Arabidopsis thaliana: one gene and its partner. The protein of the gene in region 1 interacts with the protein of each later gene in a pairwise test. Each region holds a gene or a part of one and is shown on either strand. Other genes may lie near its edges. The genes, in order: AT1G75990 and DSS1(V).

Region 1 (5,172 bases):
AATAAACACACAATTTCGAACTGCAAAACTTCAAGCTATAACAATTACTAAAAGTCTAAGACTCAAGAATCAAGAGAAAGCCACCTTTTTACGCTTGCCGGAGACTTTCAAGACGCTACGATCAGACTTACCAACATTGAAATCGACACTAGTGATTCCACCTTCATCCTTAAAAGCTATATGCGTAGGAGCCAATCCAATTACACACAAACTATCAAACAAACAAACACACAAGTAAGAAGAAAACCAATTTCATCATTTCAACAGCAAAAGGAACAATCTTTGACATACCCATTAGCGTGACGGTAAATATATTGATCATGACCCGATTTAGTAAAATCTGCAAAAACATTGAAAAGGGTTTAATTCACTTCACACTATCAAAAGGGGTTTTGAAAAACACTAAACAGTAGGTGAATCTGAGAACCTGTGATGAAGTAAGAAACAAAATTGACTTGTGTAGCTGAAGGAGGAGAAATCGGAAGTTCTCCAATATCTGAAAGCAGAAGCTTTCTCAATTCGTCTTCCTCTTCATCTTCTTGTGTAGCTAGCTGCTGCTTCTGTTGGTCGTCGCAATCTTCTACTTCGTCGTTTCTCTTTGGGTTAGTTAATTCGATTGTATCCTCAATTTCTGGAAACTTCGCTACATCAAGCTTCAGAATCTCCATTGTTTCGACTGTTTAACCTTTGACGGCGAAAAAACAATCGGAGTTACTTCGCCGATTTGTAATTACATAACTAATGGGCCTAAAGGCCCATCTACTGATCTTGGGTTTGAATCATGTTCATGTTCTTCTATATTACTAACTTCACTTCTTCAGTGAATTTATTTACCAGAATTTTGATCCCAATGTGGACTTGTGATAAAGTTTGAGATTTTGTTTTTTCATAAAGTAAAAGAACTGATGTGCATAATAACAAGAAAAAGTCAGATAATTCAAAATAACAAAAGTGTTAACAGACAAAAACAGTAGAATTTGAAACAAATCTAGAAATCATCATCGTCTTCCTCAGCCATGTATTTAGCGAGCTCCTCTTCTTGCTGTTTCATCTCCCTTCTTTTCTCCTCGCTCTCTTTCTCCCTGTGCGTGTTTGGCGGGAACCTCAGTGCTCTAACCGCTTCATTGTGCATATTCAAACAGAAGGCAATCCTCGAGTTAAACGCAGTCTGTGGTTCATTAGTGGAGTAGATGTCTCCTGTTTCCTTGGAGACCATACAACCGTTCTTGTGGTCGATGGTTGCGTCGATTGCTCCATCTCTAATGGCTTTAGCGACGATGCTTTCTGCATCAGCCACTGGGTTCGCTGAGTTCAGTCTCAGCTTTTGAGCAACATCCTGTAGAGAGATTCTGGAGTAGGAAATGCTGATGTTGCGCAGTCCTGTTCTGATCACGTTGTGTCGGAGTCTGACTATGAGGTTGTGAGTCCTGTCTTCCGCAAATGTTTTGGCAAACTTCTCTTGGATTTTCCCGAACAGCTCCAAGTCACCAATTCTCACAGCCTTACAAAATTTAAACAAGAGTATTAGCAAGAAAACCTTAATTAAAGCATATGTTAGAAATGTAAAAAAGATTGAACTCACGTTGGTCAGCTCAAAATATGGCCTAAGAGTCTTCTCCATTCCTTTCTGAGTGAAGATAGATCGTTCAGGTATTTCACCCAACAACAGCCGAACTATGATAGCCCACTTGTTGCACTGGATTCTGAATCCCAGAGATGCAACAGGTGCTTTCCTAGCAGCTTGGAGGAGACTCTCTTTTGCATCGGTGTACTCAAGTTGAATCGTCCTGATCTTGCCAAGGTAAAACAAGTACCTACAAAACTGTAAATTTATATAACGAGATGAGTATCGTTTCTAGTTGAAACATGTGAATGTAGTTTGGAGAAATTCACAGTGAAAAGTTGGCATTAGTAAGCATCAGAGAGGTTGGCATAAGTAAGCATCACAATTAACTTAGAATTAGAAACTAGAATGTATGAAAGGGTTACCTGTTGGTTAGAGTGTGCCTCAAATCGAGGCGCTTTTGATCTCAACTTCTCTGCTTGGTCGTACAGGTTGTAGTGTAGATAATTGCGAAGCAACAGATTCAAAAGTGTTTCCTGGCCCAATTCGTCGTGGCGCAGTGTGGCCGAATGGTGAAGAGCAAGAAGAGTACTGCAACAGAAAGAGAGACAAGTTAATAAGATAATTGAGTGTTGAACTAATATGATAAAAGTTGAAAGATGACTGTGAACTTGTACTCACCTACGTATCTCTGCAAGATCATTAGTTAGCTCGTAACTTAAGGAGTAGTAAAAATACAATTTGGAAGCAATGACATCAACGGTTCTCCTGTTTACGCTTTTGAGGCGAGCAATGCTAGCGGTAGAACAAACTTTGGCCTGAAAGCAAAGAAAGTAAAACAATGAAGACCACAGCAAGATTTATAAATAAAGTATGTCAGTTAGAGAGATAGAGAAGAAGTAAACCTCGTTGTACTTTTTCTGATCAATGAGAAAAAGAAGAACAATGAAGTAGCAGTAAATCTCGAGCTCTGCAGGTAGATGCTTAGGAGGAGCTTGGGAATTCGATGATGCTGTATCAACTTCCATGTCATGTTCATCACTCTGTACCAATATTATAAATTCCATCAAATTAAGGGCAAACACTAATACATGAATCTAATTACAGATCCTAGATAAGCTCGTAATCAAAGTGGACAAGTGAAGCTACACATACCTTCGGCACAAAAGAAGAGAGACGAGTGTGAGCTTCAGATCCAGGAACCAAAGCGAAATCAAGGAAAGAAGAGATCACGGAACCCGTGAGCTTCCTTCGTAGTCCAACGGTGAGACGCACAGCACGAGCAATACGACGGACTTCCTTTGTATAAGATCCAGTATCAATCAGAGCTGCAATCTCCTTCAAATCTGGAGAAAAAAAAAAGCAGTACAACGAATTCAATTTTGAAACAAACCTAGCAATGTGAGATTAAGAGAAACTGAAGCATAAGATAGAGATTTACTCTGTAGCGTGGAGGTAGGAGCAGAGACGACGGATTGCGTTGGGGTTTGGTTATCTTTCATCTCTACGTCCTGAGTCATCTTTTTCGCAAATCTCAAGTCGTCTTCTTCTTGACGAAGGTAAATTAAAAATTGATTTGAAAAGAGCAGGGCTTAACGCACACATAAGTACTCTTATGTTTTCCTTTTTCTTTTCCTAGACAGAAATTACCAAATTATATTTGGGAAAAATGTTGTTTTATACGCGAACTTTCAAAAAGTAGCTATTCTATACGTGAACTCTGACGTCGGCCAAAATAAACATGAAAAATACGTTGACCAGCCATTTTAACAGAAACAAAATGTTGACCTCGCCAAAATCCCGAGACGTTAACTCGCTGATTAACCCCGTTAAGAGAACGTTAATGAATTCTGTTAAGACCAAAACGCCGTCGTTTCAAACCTAACGAAACAAATCAAAATGCCCAAATCGAAAACTCAATCCCTAATTCTCTCAAACCAAATCCCTAATTCTCTCATTGGTAAAATCGTGTTTGTTCTTCGATTAATCTTGTTGTGATTGCCTTAGCAATAGAAGGCGAAGTCGACATTGCTCCTGTTCCACCACGACGAGTAGCTGAAACCGGAGATGGAGTTTGATGGTGGAGTTCTAGCTTTGCCGGCTGTTGTTGTAGCAGAGTCTTCTGTCGGAGTTGAAGCTCAAAGAAGATAGATTGAGAGAAGTTGGATATAAGAAATCGATTTGGGGAAGATGAAGACTTAGGGTTTGAGTTTTCGATTTGGGGATTTTGTTTTGTTTCGTTTAGAACAAAACGACACCGTTTCGGCTTTAACAGAGTTTATTAACGTGCTGTTAACGGGGTTAATTGGGTCTGTTAATGCGAGTTAACGTCTCGGGATTTTGGCCAGGTCAACGTTTTGTTTCTGTTAAAATGGCTGGTCAACGTATTTTTCATATTTATTTTGGCCGACGTCAGAGTTCACGTATAAAATGGCCACTTTTTGAAAGTTCGTATATAAAACAACATTTTTCCCAATTATATTTTTCCATTTTATTTTTTTCTTTCCCTTGAAGGCAGATATTATCTTGTTTGTTAATACTATTAATGTCATTAATTAGAACATCAAAGTCGTTGTAGTATAGTGGTAAGTATTCCCGCCTGTCACGCGGGTGACCCGGGTTCGATCCCCGGCAACGGCGCTAACATTTTTTTATCGAGTAAATCTATTGTTAATACGGTGTCGACGAGTCTATGAGCTTCCTTTCCTTTGTTGTGTCTGTCTCATTAGAATTTTGAAGATCAACCCAAATTCGAGAATCGATGGTTTCTGGCTTTCTACTTCCATTTTTTTTCTCTCTCTGTGTAAATCTGCTTCCATTTGTGAGTTATTTTCGTTATAATGTTATATAAGAATTCAACTTTGCAAGGGTACTTGTTGGAAATAAAAGAATCAACTGTTCCATCACATTAAAACTGATAACCAAAGAAAAGAGGTAATTTGTCCAAACTGTGTCTCACTCTCACCTAAACAAAACTACAAAACAGAGGAAAAAAGAAAAGAAAAGAGGATGCCTCAGTAGTTCTTCTCTAACAAAAACCCAAGACGACGACCAACCATAAAATAAATTGAACATATATTCCTAAGCGACTCTAAACAAAACAGACCACAAGCTAAAACACTGTCAATCAATGGATAGTAAAAAAAAAAGAAGGGGAATGAGATACACTTATGGCAAACATGTCTTCTTGATGGACAGAAGAAGCAAACATAGAAAGAAAGTGAGAGAACAAGGAGATAGAAAAAAAACATCCAACGACTTGGGCTTTTTTCTTCTTTTTATGTTTGTGTAAGAGAAACCTCACTCTCAAGCAGCTGCCTGGACTGGTGGTCCATCTGATCTGTTGTTGAAACCACCATCACCACCACGTCCTCCTCCTCTTCCACGTCCTCCCCTTCCACGTCCACGTCCACGCCCTGCATCAAACCAATTCAAAACTCATGGCTTCTTCACACAATTACAGTTCAAGAACCAGGTAAAAGAATACAGAATGTTTTAATTTATTTTACCACGACCCTGAGGACCATCATAACCACCACGGCCCTGAGAAGGACCATCATAACCACCACGGCCCTGAGAAGGACCATCATAACCACCACGGCCTTGAG
Region 2 (3,910 bases), on another chromosome or scaffold:
ATAGTTTTGTTTTTGTGTGTGTTTCAGGTCAATCTTTTGAGCCTCTAATGGCAGAGCTAGACCGACTACCAACACGTCGCCCACAAGTGTTTGTCAATTTCTGCAATGACGAGCTTGGCGACAACTTTATTAAACATCTCGTGTGGGCTTTGAGAGACTCAGGGATCAATGTCTTCAAAGACAGCTTCAAGCTTATAGGAAGTGGACAAAAACAAGAAGTGTTCATGAGTATAGAGAACTCGAATATCGCGCTTGCCATCTTCTCAAAGAGGTATTCTGAGTCATATCGGTGTTTGAACGAGCTTGTGAAGATGGAAGAGCTTGCCAAGGAAGGAAAACTCGTGGTCATTCCAGTCTTCTACAGTGTGAAAACAAACGAAGTGAGAAGACTTGAGGGAGAGTTTGGAATACATTTTAGAAACACAAAAGAGAGATTTGCTATGGAACCAATGATGGTTGAAAGTTGGGAAAAATCCTTGAAGTCATCTACTGTTACAGGGAGGATTGGCTTGAGCTTGGAAGCACACATGTAATAGAATATTTAATAGAACTCTTGTTTTGTAGTAAGATCGACTTTGTGGTAAGGTCGTCTAATCAGTTTCTTTCACTCATTTTGCAGGAACGAATTTGCTCTTGTCGGTGCCATTGTTAAAGAGGTTACAAGATTACTACCAAACTCTCCAAAGAAGAAGAAGAAGAAGAAAATTAGGTATTGGAGAAGTTTTCTTGAGGGCTTTGACTGCTACATTTATCTTTGCTGTCTTCATATACCCTATGCCTATGCCTGATGTGAACTTTTTGAAAATTGGTAAGTTGTTATTAGGCTTTCCGTTTTTGGTTGTTGTCTTGCACAAGATTTTATGTTAATATTAGAAACAAAATGATGTTTTCTCGCTTCTGGCTTGTGGACGCTAACACTATATGTAATGTTGTGACGCACATCAGCTATGTCTATTTGAATGTTATCTCTACGGTTATTTTGTGATGTACATAGTAAACCAATCCATGTCCACACCGCACTGTGTTGAGAGAAGATGGTGATTATCAGAATAGAATTACTATCAGCTCAAATTTATCATCTTCAAAGACGAGAAATTTGCATCCAAGGAAGAGTATAATGTGTAAAGGAAAAGGAGAACCGATACATGCTACGATAAACCAAAGGATGCAATTCAAACAAAAAAGCCAAGGTTCCCTAAATGAGAAGACCTGCCTTTCTCGCAATCTTGGACCTCATTTCTTCTCACTAGCATTCTCAAGCTCCTTCTTTAACTGACGCGAGAAGTCGTCACTGACATCATCATCATCCCAGTCATCTTCCCACTGCAGGCTAACTTCCTTCACTTCCTCTTTCTCCAACCAATCTGCCAAACATAACAATAAAAATATCCATCTTTATCAATTCTTTCAATAAAGCTATTTGTTAAATCTCAAGACTGAACTAACATTGCAAAGCAAAATCTGTTAAAATCAGAAACTGATCCTAGCTTAAGTTGAATTGTACAACTCTCCCCCAAGCTACTCAATGCCCCCAAATAATTCCTAAATCCACCATAACCTTTAGGCCCTTTAGCTCATGAAGCCTTGCCGATTAATAATGCAAACATAATCACCAGTAGTTTGCTCATAAAACTGCACTATTATCCATCAAGTTTATGAGACCGTAGCTTCATCATCATAAACATATATCAAACAGATCCGTTTTCGCATCAGAACTACCCAACTTCATACAATAGAGACTATCTTAGTTTGTATAAGACAGTGCAGAATCAAAATTTGTATTTATACCAAAACCTAATCAATCACCAAATCAGTTGCTAATGAAATTTGCTCTTATCTCCATTAATTTTATAACCGATGATGAATCAATTTCGAAAATCAAAGAAGCAATTAGTATAAAACAAAAAAATCACCTTCGTTGATTTCAAATTCCTCGAACTCATCGTCGTCCTCGAATAGATCCACCTTCACCACTTCGACAGCTGCCTTGGGTTCTGCCGCCATAGTTACAGATGTTTAAGCAAATCAACCAGATCGAGAAAAAAACCTAAGAAGAAGATCACCAAACTCGATTAATTCCTCCAAGTTAAACCCAACCAGAGCTCTTTAAACGAACCTTTTTTTCGTTTTGGGTCTAACTTGAAGAAGGGGAAAATTACCAATTTCCAATAACCGACCCGAATCTTATATGATTCATACCGAATCCGACCCGAATCTTATATGATTCATACCGAATCCGACCCAATATTAAAAATATCCGATTGAGGTTTAAAAGAAGCTGTTTTAGACCGGTCCAATAGTCGCATTCGTCTTGACCAAATCCATGACATACAAACCGGTCCAAAAGTTGTCACGCTTTCCCCACAGAACCCAGCTGAGTCAACTCGTTAGTCTGAGTTAACTCGCTAGGCGTGACAGAGCAGTGAAGACAAAGCAAAGTCCTTTTTCGGATTCCTTCTCTTTCACTATAAGATGACATCCCTCATTACCATTTTTCCTTAAAGCTCACTTTTTCTTCTTTAACCTTATCGCCACAAAACAGCGACATTCGACGCCAAATACATAACATCGTCGTCAACAGGTTTTGTCTCTTATCTTCTTCTCTGCATGAATCATGTTCTTGTTAGACATTTTCTGAGTTCTGGGTTTGATTTTGGCCCAATGATCCATAAATGTTGAAAATCATATTTGAAGGCTATGAATTATGAACATTTTATTTTAACCTTTTTCTAGCTCTAATGAGATAATTAAGTAAAACCCTACTCGAAATTTCTGAACTTTTTGATGCTTTGATTCGTTTCCTGTGATCCTTTACCTAGAGAAAATTGAGATTGATTATGTGACAAGTGACCATCTATAAGAAATCTCTCAAAGTTTTCAACTTTACTCACTCTATTGAGGTGAAAAAGAAAAATTGTGCATTCTGAAATTTTTATTCTTTTCGTTTGTCATGTGAATTTTCGTGTTTGATTTTTTATTAGTAGCAAAATGGCTAGGTCTGGGGTTGATGAGACATCAGAATCTGGAGCTTTTGTAAGAACAGCATCAACATTCCGCAACTTTGTTTCACAAGATCCTGATTCTCAGTTTCCAGCTGAATCAGGAAGATACCATCTTTACATATCTTATGCTTGTCCATGGGCTTGTAGATGTCTTTCTTACTTAAAGATCAAAGGACTTGATGAAGCAATCACCTTCTCGGTTAGTACAAATTCATTGCTCATATCGAATTAGAAGACTTTGTTAACCTGAAGCATTTCTGTTTTATTTGATTTGATTAGTCGGTTCATGCCATTTGGGGAAGAACCAAGGAAACTGATGATCATAGAGGATGGGTTTTCCCGGATTCGGATACCGAGCTCCCTGGAGCTGAGCCTGACTATCTTAATGGTGCCAAAAGTGTGAGAGAACTCTACGAGATTGCTAGCCCAAACTATGAAGGGAAGTACACTGTTCCTGTAAGTTTTGATCTCTTTGGTGAACTCTTTAATCTTTCTTTGTCCTGTTTCTTGAATGTTTGTTTTGTTATTATGTTAGGTTCTTTGGGATAAGAAGCTTAAGACTGTTGTTAACAATGAGAGTTCAGAGATAATCCGGATGTTCAACACTGAGTTCAATGGTATTGCGAAAACCCCGTCACTTGACCTTTATCCTTCTCATCTCAGAGACGTAATCAACGAGACTAACGGATGGGTTTTCAACGGAATAAACAACGGTGTTTATAAATGTGGGTTTGCAAGGAAACAAGAACCCTATAATGAGGTATATATCCCTCAATGTCTTAAACATTTGAACAGGGATTCAAAAATTGATCCCTTTTCTCTCCAGGCAGTGAACCAGTTATATGAAGCAGTAGATAGATGTGAGGAAGTACTCGGAAAACAACGATACATCTGCGGAAACACTTTCA

Evidence for each region.
Region 2: the proteins of AT1G75990 (region 1) and DSS1(V) interact in a two-hybrid assay, tested with the Arabidopsis thaliana proteins (one study listed by BioGRID).

What each region holds. Positions count from the first base shown.
Region 1 is NC_003070.9:28,523,635-28,528,806, forward strand, and holds AT1G75990 (PAM domain (PCI/PINT associated module) protein), read right to left. Parts: upstream 3,215-5,172; 5' UTR 3,085-3,214; coding exon 3,006-3,084; intron 2,911-3,005; coding exon 2,720-2,910; intron 2,608-2,719; coding exon 2,470-2,607; intron 2,383-2,469; coding exon 2,246-2,382; intron 2,156-2,245; coding exon 1,990-2,155; intron 1,823-1,989; coding exon 1,583-1,822; intron 1,502-1,582; coding exon 989-1,501; 3' UTR 770-988; downstream 1-769. Other genes in the region: AT1G75980 (Single hybrid motif superfamily protein), read right to left, coding at 85-211, 292-340, 428-668; AT1G76010 (Alba DNA/RNA-binding protein), read right to left, coding at 4,871-4,980, 5,074-5,172. UniProt on the Arabidopsis thaliana protein: Acts as a regulatory subunit of the 26 proteasome which is involved in the ATP-dependent degradation of ubiquitinated proteins.
Region 2 is NC_003076.8:18,166,218-18,170,127, forward strand, and holds DSS1(V) (DSS1 homolog on chromosome V), read right to left. Parts: upstream 2,167-3,910; 5' UTR 2,005-2,166; coding exon 1,914-2,004; intron 1,365-1,913; coding exon 1,234-1,364; 3' UTR 789-1,233; downstream 1-788. Other genes in the region: AT5G45000 (Disease resistance protein (TIR-NBS-LRR class) family), read left to right, coding at 28-529, 620-788; AT5G45020 (Glutathione S-transferase family protein), read left to right, coding at 2,989-3,201, 3,282-3,458, 3,538-3,762, 3,829-3,910. UniProt on the Arabidopsis thaliana protein: Subunit of the 26S proteasome which plays a role in ubiquitin-dependent proteolysis. Also associates with the TREX-2 complex that is required for transcription-coupled mRNA export.